Macaca mulatta: one gene and its partners. The protein of the gene in region 1 interacts with the protein of each later gene in a pairwise test. Links are inferred from orthologs where the notes say so. Each region holds a gene or a part of one and is shown in the gene's direction. Other genes may lie near its edges.

The links.
Region 2: the proteins of HAX1 (region 1) and SAV1 interact in binary tests that used the Homo sapiens proteins (3 or more experiments, as listed by UniProt). The link is inferred for Macaca mulatta from reciprocal best matches to the Homo sapiens genes HAX1 and SAV1.
Region 3: the proteins of HAX1 (region 1) and IL1A interact in binary tests that used the Homo sapiens proteins (3 or more experiments, as listed by UniProt). The link is inferred for Macaca mulatta from reciprocal best matches to the Homo sapiens genes HAX1 and IL1A.

Annotation. Positions count from the first base shown.
Region 1 is NC_133406.1:112,745,931-112,752,126, reverse strand, and holds HAX1 (HCLS1-associated protein X-1), read left to right. Parts: upstream 1-2,110; 5' UTR 2,111-2,179; coding exon 2,180-2,232; intron 2,233-2,787; coding exon 2,788-3,050; intron 3,051-3,201; coding exon of another isoform or gene 3,202-3,225; coding exon 3,226-3,413; intron 3,414-4,444; coding exon 4,445-4,496; intron 4,497-4,647; coding exon 4,648-4,754; intron 4,755-4,929; coding exon 4,930-5,020; intron 5,021-5,165; coding exon 5,166-5,251; 3' UTR 5,252-5,411; downstream 5,412-6,196. UniProt on the Homo sapiens protein: Recruits the Arp2/3 complex to the cell cortex and regulates reorganization of the cortical actin cytoskeleton via its interaction with KCNC3 and the Arp2/3 complex. Slows down the rate of inactivation of KCNC3 channels. Promotes GNA13-mediated cell migration.
Region 2 is NC_133412.1:123,899,093-123,905,132, reverse strand, and holds the start of SAV1 (protein salvador homolog 1), read left to right. Parts: upstream 1-2,067; 5' UTR 2,068-2,194; coding exon 2,195-2,288; intron 2,289-4,533; coding exon 4,534-4,977; intron 4,978-6,040. UniProt on the Homo sapiens protein: Regulator of STK3/MST2 and STK4/MST1 in the Hippo signaling pathway which plays a pivotal role in organ size control and tumor suppression by restricting proliferation and promoting apoptosis.
Region 3 is NC_133418.1:22,866,228-22,872,597, reverse strand, and holds the start of IL1A (interleukin-1 alpha), read left to right. Parts: upstream 1-2,237; 5' UTR 2,238-2,335; intron 2,336-3,001; 5' UTR 3,002-3,009; coding exon 3,010-3,056; intron 3,057-4,015; coding exon 4,016-4,064; intron 4,065-4,943; coding exon 4,944-5,166; intron 5,167-6,370. UniProt on the Homo sapiens protein: Cytokine constitutively present intracellularly in nearly all resting non-hematopoietic cells that plays an important role in inflammation and bridges the innate and adaptive immune systems.

The DNA of each region.
Region 1 (6,196 bases):
CTTTTTTTTCCCCCCTTCCATTCCTTCTCCCCTCTTGCATTCAAGATTATGAAACTTTGCTATGGGCCCTGCCCTTCCTTTGCTTCCTCCTGTTCACCCTGGTGGTGTACGGATGAGGTGGGGAGGTGGGACCCCCAAATATATATCAGCCCAACAGCCCTAAGTCTCCTCCTTTATTATTAGGAAAACAACAACAACAAACAAAAAAAAAATGGCGTCATGAATATGAACAGCATTGTCAGATGAATTAGTTGAAGTGTTTTTTTTTTTTTTTTTTTTTTTTTTTGTACTGTGTCCTCAAATTTAATGGATTAATGTGTCTTGTATATATAAAAAGAAAACCTCTACCTTCAGCCTCTGCCTATTCTTGCTCCGTCTAGGACATCCTCAATTTCGTCGATGACCAGCTTGGTGAATAAGTATTACTGTACCAACGGGGCCTCCTCTAGCAGGCCCCTGAAGGCAGTGGAATAAAATGAAATCTTCGCCCTTTAAGAACTCCTGACCTTAATGTGGTAGTAGTATCTTGTCCTTGAGGGGATTTCCTTCCCTTCACCCCTAAGACTTTCACAACCTGTTGACTGGAAAGAACCACCACAAATCTTCATTTCCTCCAGAAACTGCTACATCTACAGCCGATTTCAGGCAGTAAAGGGAGAGGGATAGAGGAGATTGGGTGGAAAATGGAGAGGATCAAGAAGGAGCTGAGACCATTTCAAAGGAAAAAAATGGCTTTAAAGAGTTTTAAGTTATGACTTAAATGGGTCCAGGTAAATAAACTAAAAAGAAGTGAAGGCAACATGTATCGTCTGACAGAACTAAATCTTGGAGTAGGGTGACGGATAAAAGACTACATACTGGGTACAGTGTACACTGCTCGGGTGATGGGTGCACTAAAGTCGCAGAAATCACTAAAGAACTCATCCATGTAACCAAACACCACCTGTACCCCAAAAACGAAATAAAAAAACCAAAACCTTGGGGCACATTCCCCCTAGGAATGGACTACTGTAGTAGTTGCTTCTTGGGTGCTTTTCTGTGACATAGCTATACCCAATTCTTTGAAAAAGAATCTAGAGCCAAGTCTGGCTTGGGGATGGGGTACAGGGAGAGACAGGTTTCGGATAGGCACAAAATGAAGCCAGTCGCTTTGGGAGGCCAAGGTGGGCAGATCACCTGAGGTCGGGAGTTCGAGACCAGCCTGGTCAACATGGTGAAACCCCGTCTCTACAAAAAATACAAAAGTAGCCGGGCAGGGTGGCATATGACTGTAATCCCAGCTACTCAGGAGGCTGAGGCAGGAGAGAACCTGGGAGGCGAAGGTTGCAGTGAGCCCAGATGGTGCCACTGCACTCCAGCCTGGGAGACATGGGAGAAAAATTTGTCTCAAAAAAAAAAAGATACCAAAGGGATACTTCTTTATCGTCCCCAATTTGTTCCTTCTCAGGACACAACTAGTTTCCCTTCCCTTACAAATCCTTTGTCTTGCTGGTTGCAGAGCCTGCTTAGATAAAAGAATCCTATATGGTTATAACAAACTCCCTAGTAGCTAGAGAGGTGGAGGAAGTTAAGTCCATGCGTCTCATGTCTTGATCTCTGGGGAATTCAATACTAGAAAGAGCTTGGAAAAGCATTTTGTTCATTTGTTCATCCCTCTAACAGCAGACGTCACCCAGGTCAGTCAAAAGGAACGCCCGAGTAAGAGGCGAGGTGGCTTCTGCTGTTAGGCTGGCCAGCCCCGGGGGTGGGGAGGTTGAGGGATGCCCTCAAGCCGGTTCATCTGTGCGGCTGGGCTGCCCTCTGGCGGCTTTATGCGGGTGCCATCCAGAGTCAAACCCTCGAAATCGCTTTTCGGACTGAGTTGTCTCCAGAAAGAAGAACAGGTTTAGGAGGAAGGCGGTCATAGGAAACTGAAAGTGCGTCACGCTCACTCCCGTCACGGAAACTGGTCTCTAAAAGGTGGGGTAAAGATAAAGCCTTTCAAATTTGAGGAAGACTTTCCGTCCCGCCTCCCTTGCATGTCCGGCTTACAGTCGTTTACGACAGTGTCAGGATCGCGGGCTTGCTTTCCGGTAGCGTGGGCTGACGCCTCGCTCAATTTCCCACAGGGCTGCGCAGGTTTGCCCCTTCTGCGAATGGACCACTGGAGGGGTTCAAAGGTTCGCGTCCCAATACGGGAATGAGCCTCTTTGATCTCTTCCGGGGCTTTTTCGGCTTTCCTGGACCTCGGAGGTGAGAGTAGGTCCGGCTTGGACAAGGGTGGGGGTCGTCTGAGGGGAGCTTGACCCCTACGTCTTATTTTTTGGAAAAACATCCTCTGTCCCACTCCTTCAACTCCTGTAGAGAGGACAGAAGTCGCAACATTGAATACTCACCCCGCCACAGTAACCAAGGCGGTCGTTAAGAGGAGAAACAGCAAACTAAGCCTTTCTCCAACCTGGGGTGATGCAACAGGGACCCGGGCGGGGAAGACAATGGGGGTCGGGAGAATAGGACAGTGAGCAAGTGAGCAGGACCTTGGGAGAGAGGGGAGGGACTCTGGGGGAAGGTGTAAGAAGGGAGCTGCGAGCTGAGGTCTGACTTTGATAAAAAAAAAAAAAAAAAAAAGAAAGAAAGAAAGAAAGAACTGTCAGCCATTGTATTAATGTTTTGATGCGGCAACCAGTCCTCCGACCCTCTCCCCAGCTTCCCAGACCACTTGCTCTTGTCCCACTTTGCCACCCATGAGTTGATTTTATGGCTTAAATCGTGCTGACATCTTGGTGGCCAATCTGCCTCCACTCTCAGCCACAGAGATCCCTTTTTTGGAGGGATGACTCGAGATGAAGATGATGATGAGGAAGAAGAGGAAGAAGGGGGTTCATGGGGCCGTGGGAACCCAAGGTTCCATAGTCCTCAGCACCCCCCTGAGGAATTTGGCTTCGGCTTCAGCTTCAGCCCAGGAGGAGGGATACGTTTCCACGATAACTTCGGCTTTGATGACCTAGTACGAGATTTCAATAGCATCTTCAGCGATATGGGGGCCTGGACCTTGCCTTCCCATCCTCCTGGTGTGTGGCTTTCCCTGAGGGACAACCTGCGGTTTCTAGTGGGTTGGTGGGTGAAATAAAGAGCCTGCAGGGAGTAGCTGGGGGATGGGAAGTGTGAGAAGACTGATGATTTCAGGGAGATTTATAGAGCCCAAGTCCTTTCCCACCCCAGCAAACACCTGCCACCTTTCTGCAGAACTCCCAGGTCCTGAGTCAGAGACACCTGGTGAGAGACTGCGGGAGGGACAGACACTTCGGGACTCAATGCTTAAGTATCCAGATAGTCACCAGCCCAGGATCTTTGGGGGGGTCTTGGAGAGTGATGGAAGAAGTGAATCCCCCAAACCAGCACCAGACTGGGGCTCCCAGAGACCATTTCATAGTGTGAGTATCCCATCGGGTCCTAAAGTGAGAGCTTGTGAGAGACCACTAATAAAGTGCAAAGACTGGCCAGGCGCGGTGGCTAACGCCTGTAATCCCAACACTTTGGGAGACCGAGGGTGGATCACCTGAGGTCAGGAGTTCGAGACTAGCCTGGTCAACATGGTGAAACCATGTCTCTACTAAAAATACAGAAAATTAGCCGGGCGTGGTGGCGGGCACCTGTAATCCCAGCTACTCGGGAGGCTGAGGCAGGAGAATTGGTTGAACCCAGGAGGTGGAGACTCATGTCAAAAAAAAAAAAAAAAAAGTACAAAGATTGCACTTTTTTTTTTTTGAGACCCAGCCTTGCTCTGTTACCCAGGCTGTGGTGTAGTGGCACAATCTCAGCTCACTGCAACCTCCAATTCCCAGATTCAAGTGATTCTCCTACCTCAGCCTCCTGAGTAGCTGGGATTACAGTCACCTGCCAAACGCCCGACTAATTTTTGTATTTTTAGTAAAGGCGGTGTTTCACCATATTGGCCAGGCTGCTTTCGAGCTCCTGACCTCAGGTGGTCCACCCACCTTGGCCTCCCAAAGTGCTGGAATTACAGGTGTGAGCCAACATGCCTGGCCAAAGATTGCAATTCTTGTTTGAATCTGACAGCCTTGGGCTGGAATCCTAAGCCCTCCATTTAGTGTTTTCTGTTTTCTCTATTAAGCTTGTGGGATTTTCTTTGGGGGGGGGAGATGGGTGTTCTGTTTCTTAAAAAAAAAAAAAAAAACAATAAACCACCACTGGTCTAGATAATTCTTGGATAAGGCAGGATTGTGCACAAAGTATAGACATATATCAGTTCAGGAAGTCTTTCTGGTAGAAGGATACATAAAACAGCCAGGAAGGAGGAAGGAGTGTATAAATAAAGCTATTCTGAATGGAATTATCTCCCCCGGGGCAGTGGGTTTTGGAGCTCAGGATTAGTTTGAGGTCTATGACCTTTCAAATTTCAGATTAGAAGATGTCTTTTCACTTACTATGGTTTCTTCTGCAGTTTGATGACATATGGCCTGTGGACCCCCATCCTAGAACCAGAGAGGACAATGGTAAGTCTGGAGGAAGGGGAAGTTTATCAGCCTTTTGTTATTCTTCTGAAGTTCTGTCCATTTTCCCTCCCTGAAGTTTCTTCCTGTACACTTGTCTTCTTTTTTCCTTGGACTCTTTCTTTCCTGCTTCTTCATCTCTCTGCTCTTCCAGATCTTGATTCCCAGGTTTCCCAGGAGGGTCTTGGCCCGGTTCTACAGCCCCAGCCCAAATCCTATTTCAAGAGCATCTCTGTAACCAAGATCACTAAACCAGATGGGGTGAGTTGAAAGAAAGAGGTAAAGGAAATTGTGGCCAGGGAATGAATGCCCTGAAACAGGAATCTCTGTAAAGAAACAGGGATCTCTGTAAAGAAACTGCTGAGCGTTATCGTTAGAAACTGCTGAGCGTTATCGTTAGTGATGTGAGGAATATGGTGGGGACTTCTCCTTGTAGATAGTGGAGGAGCGCCGGACTGTGGTGGACAGTGAGGGCCGGACAGAGACTACAGTAACCCGACACGAAGCAGAGAGCAGTCCTAGGGGTGGTAAGTTAAAAGACAAAGGGGTTCATCTCAAGATTCCTTGGGGAAGGGAACTCTTACTCTTCTACCCTTGAATATTATTTCTCTCCTTTGCTTCTGCCTGGTCTCTTTCATTTAGCCTATTTGTGTGTATGACTTTCTTCCTTAGATCCAGAATCACCAAGACCTCCAGCCCTGGATGATGCCTTCTCCATCCTGGACTTATTCCTAGGACGTTGGTTCCGGTCCCGGTAGCCTTGTTAACCCTCAGAGGCCTTCAAAGTCCTTTCCACCTTTCACCCATTGCCCACCATTAATAAGCTTAGCTTCTCCTCTTGCCACCTCAGGGGCTTGGATATGTGGAATAGTGAATTGGGGGCATGTCAGTTTGTCACTCACCCAAACTGACCAATAAAACTTTTATTTATGCTAATTATTTGTCTTGGTTTTGTCAAGGCTATTTCAGTTTCTAGAACCATCCAACACTTCCGAAATTATCTTGGTCCTCTACCTTCTCCTTATTCCTTAACTTTTTATTCTACATCTAAAACCTGAGTAGAAAATGATTTTTCTTTCTCAAGCAAGAAATAAATTAAAAAAGAAAAAAAAGAGGCCAGGTTTGGTGGCTCACACCTGTAATCCCAGCACTTTGGGAGGCTGAGACAGGCAGATCACCTGAGGTCAGGAGTTCAAGACCAGCCTGGCCAACGTGGTGAAACTCCGTCTCTACTAAAAATACAGAAATTAGCTGGGCATGGTGGCGGGTGCCTGTAATCCCATGCTGAGGCAGTAGAATCACTTGAACCCAGGAGGCAGAGGTTGCAGTGAGCCGAGACCGTGCCATCGCACTCCAGCGTAGGCAACAAGAGCAAAACTCCATCTCAAAAAAAAAAAAGAAAAGAAAAATGATTTTTCTTACTGAGGAGATAACTAGAAATAATTTCAGGAAAACTTCTAGAATTTCTAGAAAGGGATACATCAGATTCCCAAAAAAGGGTGTGGGTGTGGAAGTGTGGATCACTGACTGGAGAGTTCATGAGGTAACTGAGGAAGTACACGGGTAAATTTTCCTTACTTTACTGGCCTTAAAAAAATTGTTATGTGGCTGGGCGTGGTGGCTCATGCCTGTAATCCCAGCACTTTGGGAGGCCGAGGCAGATGGATCATGTGAAGTCTGGAGTTCGAGATCAGCCTGACCAA
Region 2 (6,040 bases), on another chromosome or scaffold:
CTGTTTTTCTAATGTTTCTCTCAGAGTACACTCTGCTTCTAGTGAGTTCCAATTCTGTTTCTTAAGATTTTCGTACCCATGGGAGTGACTGATAGTCTCACACTCCATATTCAATGTCAGCAAATTTGGCGGGCTTTCTTTAAAATATGTCTAAAATGTGTCCACTTATCTCCACCTATTATTACCTGGGTCCAAGCCAGCAATAACTTCTGACTGATCTCCCTGCTTTTGCCCTTATCTCCATTGTCTACTCCCCACCCAGCACCCAAAGCAGTCCTATGAAAACATTAACTCAGATCATGTCACTCTTCTGCTCAAAGTAACACTCCTTACAATGGCCTACAAAGCCCAAGGTGCAGTGGCTATTGTTACTCTCTAACTGCATTCCCCATTCGTCTCCCCCTCTTTTCCAGTAGTAAACCCTCTTACTGTTCCTCCAATCTGCCAGGAACATGGCCACTTGCAGTGACTTTGCACTTGCTGTTCTTTCTGCCTGGAATACTGTTCCTCCAGATAGCTGCATGGCCAGTTTCCTCATTCTGTCACTTAACTCCAATGTCACCTTCTCCTGAGCCTTCTCTGGTCCCTCTATCACCCTCTCTAAAATTGCGAGTACTCTCTTATTTTCACTTCATCACTTACCACTATCTAACATAGTATGTTTTGCTTATTTTTCGTCATTTTTTTCTTTCCCATGACAGTAGGAATTTTTGTCTGTTTTGCTTATGGCTATATCACAAACACCTAGCACAGTGCCTAGCACAGTGGGTGATGAGTATTTATTGCTAAATGAATGAATTGGGGGAGATCTGCATCAAGGGAACATATGGAGACAGACCCTAGATTAAATGTCTCATTTGTTTGCTCATGGTAAAACAAAATTTGACCATCTTTTTAATGTTATGTGGTAAAAAAAATTCCATGTCTTTTGTTGTGACATGTCTTAGATCTCTTGTGAGATGTTTTAGATCTCAGGGAAAGCATTCTTCATTATTAAAGCCTGAATTTGGTCACTAGGGGATGAATCCAATCTTATTTTCCAAATGTTATCCTGTACATATGGCAGTTTTGCTAAGTTATATAGAAGGAAGTAGAGTCTATTATTTTAGATAGAAAATTCCCGGTCCCGACTTGCAGTGGTCAAAGTCCTCAAAATTCTAAGATCGTAACACATAACGTCAGGAGGAAATACGTGGCTATTAATCATACTAATGATAATGATGCAATAAAATAATTGTAATATGCTAACACCAAATGTATCTCAAAAAGAGGTACTGGAAATTCCATCTTGCATTCTTCCGTTTTTTCCTGTTATTAGAAAAACGCACTCCCTGATACTCAGTAGAGGATCAACTTATTTCTAGTTAACCAGCATGAACGCTTCCAGCAGAATAGATGGTATGATATAGCACTACCCTGGGGGTCATGGTTAGCATTCCACATTTTTTACGGAACTGAATTCACCAGCCTTGGAAACACTAAGAAGAACACCCGTCTTGGGAGAAGGGAGTCACTGCCTCCATTAGAAATCTTGGGAGGACACAAAAACAACAAAAAAAAAACTGTCGTGGAGAGTGGCTTCACGACTTGCGCATGCGACGAGCTCCCGGTCTCAGCGAGGCAGGGTTCGTCCTTCATCTTCTCAGTCGGCAGGACCTGCTTCTCGCTGAGGATGAGCGAGGACAGCCGCGGCTCGGTGGGACCCGCCCGTTAGCCGAGAGCCCCCGCACCCGAGTCCCGCCCCGGAGCCGCGCCGGGACTGTGGTGGGGGAGGGGCGGCGGTGGCCCGCGCTGCGTCGAGCTTCCCAGAATTCCCAGCGGCCGCGGGGAAAGTTTACGGGATGTAGGCGGCGGCGGCGGTAGTGGTAGCGGTTGCCCGGCGGCCCGCGGCGAACCATGGCCCTGGCCTGGCGTCGCTGGGCTTTTCTCACGGCGTCCCCGAGCAGCGTCGCAGAGCGGGCCGACTTCCGGGAAGGAACTGACCAGCGACTGAGCGGCGGCCGGCGCGCTTAGCGCCCTGAACATGCGGCAGTCCCTGCAGGCAACCCCGGGCTCCGGACAGGCGGCGGCGGAGGCGGCGGCTCAGGAGGGAAGGAGGCGCCGGCGCCGGCGGAGGTGGCGGCGGAGACGGCCGGCGCCCGGCGCGGAGCCCTAGGGAGGCAGCTCAGCGCGGCCTCGGGCCTCGTCGAGAAGGATGCTGTCCCGAAAGAAAACCAAAAACGAAGTGTCCAAGCCGGCCGAGGTGCAGGGGAAGTACGTGAAGAAGGAGACGTCGCCTCTGCTTCGGAGTGAGTGTCAGGCGGGGCGCGCCCACACCTGGCCCAGGCGGCCGGGGGCTGCGGGGACCTGGGCGGGGGCGCCGGCGGGTCCCCAGGGCTTCTCCTTCGTCGCTGGTCGCTGTGAAATACTGGTTTTGAGATTTTCTTGTGCCTGAAGTGGTATTCGTTGATTGAAAGCCCGTAAGACTAAGAAACTTGGGTTAGTCCCCCCGCGCCTAACCGCGCCAAGAGCACCCCCTAAAAATAACAGACTTCCTCACCCCGCCTGGCAGAGAGTTGTTGGTTTTGAGTACTGGAAGAGAGACTAGAAAACACTTAAATTGTTTATAACCTAATGAGTAATTAGACAGGGACACTTTTTACTCTTCTGGGTGCGTCGAGATGTGCCTCATGTTTGCAAACATTGTTGGTGTCTCTCGACCGTGCTGCAAGTTGTGCAAACTCTGGGGCAGAATTCCTTAGTCCTGCTGCCGGATGCAGACTTGAGAAGGTGAAAAGCACACCATAGTTCTTGTGGCTGCCACCCAAAGCACATCCCAGAGCAGAGAGCCAAAAGCCTTTGTATTTGGCTATATTCGTGAGATTCCAAAAAGGCAACTCAAAATTATTTCTATCGTGTTAGAGAAATTCCACCGTCCCCCGCCCCACCCCCGGAAAAGTGTTTTTTTTTTGATAGGGTATATCCCACCCTCAACCCCCACCTCCGATCCCCCGCTACTTTTCTTCTTAATTTAAGTATTTGATTTTTGAGTTGAATCTCTTGGATTTTTAATTATTGTGTGTTCAGGACATTTGTGAGGCATGGAGCTGGTATTTTGGTGCTTATACTGCGCCCCGGGCCCTTTGCGTAAGTTTCCTTCTTGGAAGCTGGTAGTAACCTTGTGACTTAAGTATTACCTCATACTGTAATTGGGAATGCTAGGTTTCTAGTGTTTGCCCAAGATCACACAGATGGGAGAGCATGTTCTCCATTATAACCACATTGTCAGCCTTCCAGATTTATAGTAGTACTTGCAATACTTTCAACAAAATATATGTCAGTTGAGCATGTCAGTAACTGGAAACTTGATTTTTAAGTTTTTTTTTTAAACTTGATTTTCAGTTACACATGCTGTTAGGTTTTTGGCTGTTTTTAAGTGATAGCTTGCTGTTTGCTACAAATAAAGTTTATCAAACATTACTTGAAATCGTGAATCATGTTTGTCACACTTTTTTTATTATTATACTTTAAGTTCTGGGGTACATATGCAGAACATGCAGTTTTATTCATGTTTGTCACAATTAAGCAAATAACTTTTGATATACTTTGTGTTGTTGTCGTTACATCAAGTGTTGAGCCTTATTTATTCGGATATTTGTTTCTGTCCAGTGTTAGTTTCTGAAGCTTATTAATATGAGTGTCTCCAATATTGTTTACTTAATGAATAATAAGAGGGTCTCCATATTCAGGTTTTTTCTTGTTTTAAAGGTATTTGCTTTCTAACTAGAAATGTCTTAAGCTGTTTTCAAGTTTCGTGTTTAAAAGTACAGTATCCTAAAAGCCATTGTTCTATTGTCTACTATTTTGAATTATAATTACATAGTTTCAGGCTTGGTTTTTTTGAGCCAATTCAACATTTGTGTGCCTCTTTGAAATGAGAGCTTTTTATTTTCAATTTTCATACGTAAATTTTTGGCTTTCTAGCTTTTGATTACTGTGCTAGTGCTAGGTAATTCCAAGAGAAGAAAGAGCTACTAATTTTTTAATCTTTAAAGGAATCCACTTTTACATACTTGGGAGTAGCATTAAGTTCTATTTTATTTTTGAAATTGTGTTTGCTTCAAGAAGGATTTTTGGCAGTTTCTAAAATGAAGTGAGAACAACAAAATAAACTACTAGCTTAATTAACTAGAAACTATCAGTTTGTTAGATTGTTTCCTATTATTCATTAATTCATGACCATGTCATTAATGTGTAGTTCACAGATAAGATTATTGGCATTTTATCATATTATGTATGGTAGTATGCAGAATACATTTCATTCTAGCTGAGCTTTTACACATAGCATATTAATGCAAGTTATATAAATTCATTTGATTGGGAAAATATTAACCTTCTTCAGTTTAAAATGCCCAAGTACCATCCTAAACCAAAATTTAAAATTGTGTTTTAAGTTGACATTTGATTTTGGGGTGGTAGATGTAAATGAACAACTTTCGAAAACTTTTGTTACTTACTGATGAAAGGGTAATTTTATCCTTTGTTTTATTATAGATCTTATGCCTTCTTTCATCCGGCATGGTCCAACAATTCCAAGACGAACTGATATCTGTCTTCCAGATTCAAGCCCTAATGCCTTTTCAACTTCTGGAGATGGAGTAGTTTCAAGAAACCAGAGTTTCCTTAGAACTCCAATTCAGAGAACACCTCATGAAATAATGAGAAGAGAAAGCAACAGATTATCTGCACCTTCTTATCTTGCCAGAAGTCTAGCAGATGTCCCTAGGGAGTATGGTTCTTCTCAGTCGTTTGTAACGGAAGTTAGTTTTGCTGTTGAAAATGGAGACTCTGGTTCCCGATATTATTATTCAGACAATTTTTTTGATGGTCAGAGAAAGCGGCCACTTGGAGATCGTGCACATGAAGAGTACAGATATTATGAATACAACCATGATCTCTTCCAAAGAATGCCACAGAATCAGGGGAGGCATGCTTCAGGTAGCTTAACATTATAAATAATATAGTAGTTTATTGACATGTCAATTAAAAAGATGTTCTTTTCTAGATTTTCTTGGGACGCGAACAAATACTACTAGCGAAATTTTTTCCACTTTGCTAGTTCTGCTTAAGCCTGTGTGCAAATAGTTGTTAATCTACACTGAATGGAAGAGTCCTTGTGTCCATTTATTTTATTAACTCCTGTTATATAAACCTGGTACTTATCTCAAGGCTGTCTAGACTCTTAATCCTGTGTGTGACCCTTGAAAACCTAGAGAATTTAATGTCTCCAGTTGGTCTGAATTTAGGTTTAGGTTTGGTAGAATAATGGGAAGGGTGAGTCTTCAGAGACACTTGACAAACTTGGGAAAGGAAAGCAGAATAGGAACAACTGGGCATGCTCAGTGAGACCCTGAGCAACCGCATTACTTCACTAGATCCTGCACTTTTTCTCTGAACAAAAAGTAGTTTAAGAATTATTTCCTGAGTTGATCAGAAAGACTTGTCACATGGTTAATTGTGTGTTGAGCACGTCTTTATTCTTTTTGTAACAGACAAAAAATATTACCATTTAATTTAGGAAAAGAAGGTGCTTTCCGTATCTCCTGACTTGGAAATACTTCTGAAAGGAGCAGAAGAGATTGGAGAAATGTACAGTTCTACTTTATTCCTAAAGTCCTGGTTTTACTAGATAAAATGAAGCGAGATGAAAATTAAACTTTTTTGTCCGATTGTTTTTTTCTACCAAGTTATAGACTTTAAATTTTGGCAGGATAAAAATAAAATGTGAGACAGATTTACTTTTTGGCTCACATAACTTCAAAAGGCGACTTAAAAATGGTTTGGAGCATTAGTATTTTGACTGTAGAAAAAATTTATTCATTTAGTATTAACTGTTTATGTGCCTAGCGTTTTCCTTGGGTCTGTTGGTCTCTGCTTTCTGGTACCTTATTTGTCTGGTACCTTATTTGGAGAAACAAAACCAATTTATACACAATGGTCACAGAACAATTGTTATACTTTGTGATGCTAACTGTAAGTGCAACAGGGAATCAGAAGAGAG
Region 3 (6,370 bases), on another chromosome or scaffold:
GGCTCCCAACACACACACACCACAGGCCTGCCCAGTATGTTCCACTATCCCTTCCCTAGAAGAGGTAACTTTTGTTCACAGTCCCAGAAAAGCAGGCTCCCCAAAACAATGCAAGGACCCACCTCTCTCTGAACCTCACCCACCCTAGTTTTCCTTTAAAAATCAATTGACAAGACAATCATGTGAAGGAAAATGTTGGGTGATATTCTAACCCAAGTTCGCTGCTTCTCAACCAAGTTCTCCTTAAGAAATTCAACAACCACATTTGGGGAATTCTCTACAACAGAGGAGTGAGGATGGGACCAGGATGGGTATTGCCTATGTGGGTGGAACCAGGGTTTTTTCCTGGATTACCAAAGAGATGGTATGCATTGCTCCCAGAAGCTAAATATCTTCAGGCTTTCAATGGTGGCCTTCACCTGAAAATGTTATCCCTGTTGAAGCTTTCGAGCCAATATTTTCATAAGAACTATATTTTCTTTGGTGAACTAAGGCATTATAATGATGACTATACAGGTTCTTGAGTGACTGAAGCCATCATTAGCATTGTTATTATTTTTGTTTAGTTGCATCTCCATAGCAGCTCACATTCACAATGTGCTTTGCAATTGTTCCTTAGCAATAGCCCTCACAAGATTCTCAGGAGGAGAGGGGGTAATCAGGATTAACATTTCTGTGTTGCCTAAGGAGGAACCAAGGTAAGCAGAAATGTAGCCAGTTGGCTGACATCACTGTTCCTTCAGGATTTATCCTTAGACACCCAAGCTTCTACCCTAGTCTGGTGCTACACTTACATTGCTTACATCCAAGTGTGGTTATTTCTGTGGCTCTTGTTATAACTATTATAGCACCAGGTACATGACCAGGAGAATTAGACTGGCATTAAATCAGAAAAAGAGATTTTGCACCTGAAATAGACCTTATGACATCTAACCAATCCTATTATTTATAATTAAACAGGAACAGAGGGAATACTTTATCCAACTCACACAAGCCGCTTTCCTCCCAGATCCACACTTTTTTGCTTTTCTATACCATGTTTTAGTGCCTTGCCTCTTTTTTTTTTCTCTCCCTCTTCTACCTTGTTCTTCCATCCATTTCCTTTGTTTGTTTGTTTGTTTATTTTTTTTTTAGAGATGGGGGCTTCACTACGTTGCCCACACTGGACTCGAACTCTGAGCCTCAAGTGATCGTCCTGCCTCAGCCTCCTGAACAGCTGGCACTACAGGGGCATGCCACCACACCTAGTTCATTTCCTTTATTTAAAATATTTATGGCTTAAACTCCACCTGGGAACATCCATTTGCTAAGAGTCTGGTGTTCTGCCACCTGAACTAGGCTGGCCACGGGAATTATAAAAGCTGAGAAATTCTTTAATAATAGTAACCAGGCAACACCATTGAAGTCTCAGATGTAAAAATCCATGCCTTCCTTTCTCCCAATCTCCATTCCCAAACTTAGCCACTGGCTTCTGGCTGAGGCCTTAGGCATACCTCTAGGGGCTTTCACACACCTTCTTCTACAGAAGACACACCTTGGGCGTATCCTACAGAAGACCAGGCTTCTCTCGGGTCCTCGGTAGAGGGCTACTTTACTGTAACAGGGTCAGGGTGGAGAGTTCTGTCCCGAAGCTCTGTCCCCTCTCCAGGAAATGTGTTGACAATATTCAGAGGAGTAAGAGGGTCAAGACTTCTTTGTGGTCAAATATCACTTTTCTCTTCTCTACCCTGACCTAACCAGGAGCTTGTCACCCCATACTCTGAAGTGATTTATGCCTTAATCAAGCAAACTTCCCTCTTCAGAAAAGATGGCTCATTTTCCCTCAAAAGTTGCCAGAAGCTGCCAAGTATTCTGCCAATTCACATTCAACCTGGAGCACAACCAACAGATTCAGCCGGAACACAACTCCAGCTACTATTAGAACTATTATTATTCATGAATTCCTCTCCAAATCTAGCCCCTTGGCTTCTGATTTCAGGATTTCTCCCTTCCTCCTAGAAACTTGATAAGTTTCCTGCACTTCCCTTTTTCTAAGACTACACGTTTGTCATCTTATAAAGCAAAGCAGTGAATAAAGGAACCAAGTCAATAACTTCTGGAATATCTGCAAACAACAATAATATCAGCTATGCCATCTTTCATTATTTTAGCCAGTATCAAGTTGAATGAACGTAGAAAAATACAAAACTGAATTCTTCCCTGTAAATTCCCCGTTTTGACGACGTACTTGTAGCCACGCCTACTTAAGACAATTACAAAAGGCGAAGAAGACTGACTCAGGCTTAAGCTGCCAGCCAGAGAGGGAGTCATTTCATTGGCGTTTGAGTCAGCAAAGGTATTGTCCTCACATCTCTGGCTATTAAAGTATTTTCTGTTGTTGTTTTTCTCTTTGGCTGTTTTCTCTCACATTGCCTTCTCTAAAGCTACAGCCTCTCCTTTCTTTTCTTGTCCCTCCCCGGTTTGGTATGTGACCTAGAATTACAGTCAGATTTTAGAAAATTATTCTCTCATTTTTCTGATAAGGACCGATTCGTTTTACTGAGAGATGGCAGAATTAGCTTCCTGTGAGGGCATGGGGTGAATACAACTGAGGCTTCTCATGGGAGGGAATCTCTACTACCCAAAATTATTGGGAGAAAATTGAACATTTCCAAGTCTGTCTCTCCCTTACCTCTGTGTAAGGGAAACACCTTATTCTTGTGGTGTTTCTGTAACCTCTTCAAACTTTCATTGATTGAATGCCTGTTCTGTGCAATACATTAGGTTGGGCACATAAGGAATAACAATATAAATAAAACATTCTAAAAGAAGTTTACGATCTAATAAAGGAGACAGGTACATAGCAAACTAATTCAAAGGAGCTAGCAGATGGAGAAAATGCTGAATGTGGACTAAGTCATTCAACAAAGTTTTCAAGAAGCACAAAGAGGAGGGGCTCCCCTCACAGGTATCCGGGTTAGAGGCTGGCTGAGCTGACCGTGGCTGGTGTTCTCTGTTGCAGAAGTCAAGATGGCCAAAGTTCCGGACATGTTTGAAGACCTGAAGAACTGTTACAGGTAAGGAATAAGATTTATCTCTTGTGATTTAATGAAGGTTTCAAGGCTCACCAGAATCCAGCTAGGCGTAACAGTGACCAGCATGGGGCCAGGCCGGCAGAGGCTGGAGGAATGTGTACTAGTTCTGAAGTCAGAGCAGGTTCAGAGAAGACCCAGAAAGACTAAGCATTCAGCATGTTAAACTGAGATTACATTGGCAGGGAGACCGCCATTTTAGAAAAGTTATTTTTGAGGTCTGCTGAGTCCTACATGAATTTCAGCATCAACTCAGACACAGCCTCTGTTGAGATCACATACCCTGATATAAGAATGGGTTTTACTGGTCCATTCTCAGGAAAACTTGGTCTCCTTCAGGAATAGGAAATGACTCCACAGCAAGCTGGGCATGTGAACGCAGATACGCAGGCAAATCTCACTCATATGTAGAAGAAAGGTAAATGAACACAAAGATAAAATTACAGAACATATTAAACTAACATGATGTTTCCATTATCAGTAGTCAATACTAATGCAAACTAGGCTGTCAAAATTTTGCCTGGATATTTTACTAAGTATAAATTATGAAATCTGTTTTAGTGAATACATGAAAGCAATGTGTAACATATAATCTATTTGGTTAAAATAAAAATGAAGTGCTTCAAAACCTTTCTTTTCTCTTAAGGAGCTTAACATTCTTCCCTGAACTTCAATTAAAGCTCTTTAATTTGTTAGCCAGGTCTAATTTTTATAGATAAAGCACAGGTAAAGCTCAAAGCCTCTCTTGATGACTACTAATTCCATATTAGTAAGGTATGAATTACTCTACCTATGTGTATGTGTAGAAGTCCTTAAATTTCAAAGATGACAGTAATGGCCGTGTGTATGTGTGTGACCCACAACTACCGTGGTCATTAAAACACGTTGGCCAGAGACCAAAGTGAAATAACAAACAATTACATTCTCATCATCTTATTTGGCAGTGAAAATGAAGAAGACAGTTCCTCCATTGACCATCTGTCTCTGAATCAGGTAAGCAAATGACTGTAATTCTCATGGGGCTGCTATTCTTACACAGTAGTTTCTTCATCAAAAGAGAACAGCAATGACTTGAATCTTAAATGCTTTTGTTTTACCCTCACTAGACGTCCAGAGACCTGTCTTTCATTGTAAGAGAGACCAGCTGCCTTATAAAGTTGATGTGCATTGGCTTCTCCCAGAACAGAGCAGAATTATCCCAAATCCCTGAGAACTGGAGTCTCCTGGGGCAGGCTTCATCAGGATGTTAGTTATGCCATCCTGAGACAGGCCCCGCAGACCGCTTCACCAGGGGTCTGTCTCCTAACATGATGTGTTGTGGTTGCCCTCTCTGACACCAGCATCAGAGGTTAGAGAAAGTCTCCAAACATGAAGCTGGGGGAGAGGAAGCAAGCCAATTGAAAGTGAGAAATCTACAGCCACTCACCAAGCTGTGTCATTGTGTTTGGAGACCACAAATAGACAGTATAAGTACTGCCTGGTATGTCTTTGGTACTGGCTTTAAAAGCTGTCCCCAAAGGAGTATTTCTAAAATATTTTGAGCATTGTTAAGTAGATTTTTAGCCTCCTGAGAGGGAAGTAATTGGAAAGCTACCACTCACTACAATCATTGTTAACCTATTTAGTTACAGCATCTCATTTTTGAGCATGCAAATATATGAAAAAGTCTTCCTAAAAAATCATCTTTTTACCTTGGAAGGAGAAAGGAAGGTGAGACAAAAGGGAGAGAGGGAGGGAAGCCTAATGAAACATGAGTTACCTAAGACCAGAATGGAGATCCTCCTCACTACATCTGTTGAATACAGCACTACTGAAAGGACTTTCATTCCCTGACCACGAACAGCCTCTCAGTTTCTGTTTTCCTTCCTCTAGAAATCCTTCTATGATGTAAGCTATGGCCCACTCCATGAAGGCTGCATGGATCAGTCTGTGTCTCTGAGTATCTCTGAAATCTCTAAAACATCCAAGCTGACCTTCAAGCAGAGCATGGTGGTAGTATCAACCAATGGGAAGGTTCTGAAGAAAAGACGGTTGAGTTTAAGCCAGTCCATCACTGATAATAACCTGGAGGCCATCGCCAACGACTCAGAGGAAGGTAAGGGGTCAAGCACAATAATATCTTTGTTTCACAGTTATAAGTAAGTAGGGACAATAGAATTTAGGGGAAAATTAAACCTGGAGTCAGAATAACAAGAAGACAACCAAGCATTAGTCTGGTAACTACATAGAAAGAAAATTAATTTTTATCCTTCTCCAGGAGGGAGAGATGAGCAGTGGCCTGAATTGAGAATACTTGCTCACAGTCATTATTTCTTGGCCATACTGTAAAGGTCATGCGACTTTTAGCCTTTCAGGAGAAAGCAGTAACAAGACCACTTACAAGCTATGTTCCTCTCATACTAACTATGCCTCCTTGGGCACGTTACATAATCTTTCGGTGATTCAGTTTCCTCCACTGTAAAATGGAAATAATCAGAATCCCCCACTCATTGGATTGTTGTAAAGATTAAGAGTCTCAGGCTTTACAGACTGAGCTAGCTGGGCCCCCCTGACTGTTATAAAGATTAAATGAGTCAACATTCCCTAACTTCTGGACTAGAATAATGTCTGGTACATAGTAAGAACCCAATAAATGTTAGCTATTATTATTATTACTATTACTACTACCTATATGAATACTACCAGCAATATTAATTTATTAATGACTGATTATGTCTAAACCTCACAAGAATCCTACTTTCTCATTTTACATAAAAGGAAACTAAGCTCATTGAGATAGGTAAACTGCCCAACGGCACACATCTGTAAGTGGGAGAGCCTCAAATCTAATACAGTTCTACCTGAGTATAAAAATCATGGTTTCTCCTCCATGCCTTTACTGTACAAGCCTCCACATGAACTAGAAACCCAGTATTCCTGTTTTTAAGATAATACCTAAGCAATAACATGTGTTTACCTAGAAGGTTTTAAAATGTAACAATATATAAGAAAATAAAAATCACTCATATTGCCAGTGAGAGTTTACTACTACCAGCGCTATGGTATGTTTCCTTAAAGTCTTTGCTATACACATACCTACATGTGAACAAATATGCCTAACATTATCAAGACCACACTATTTACAACTTTATATCCAGCTTTTCTTACTTAGCAATGTATTGAGGACATTTTAGAGTGCCCATTTTTCACCATTATAAGCAATGCAACAATGAACATCTGTATAAACATTCATTTCTCTCACCCTTTATTTCCTTAGAATATATTCCTAGAAGTAGAATTTCCCAGAGCCATGAAGATTT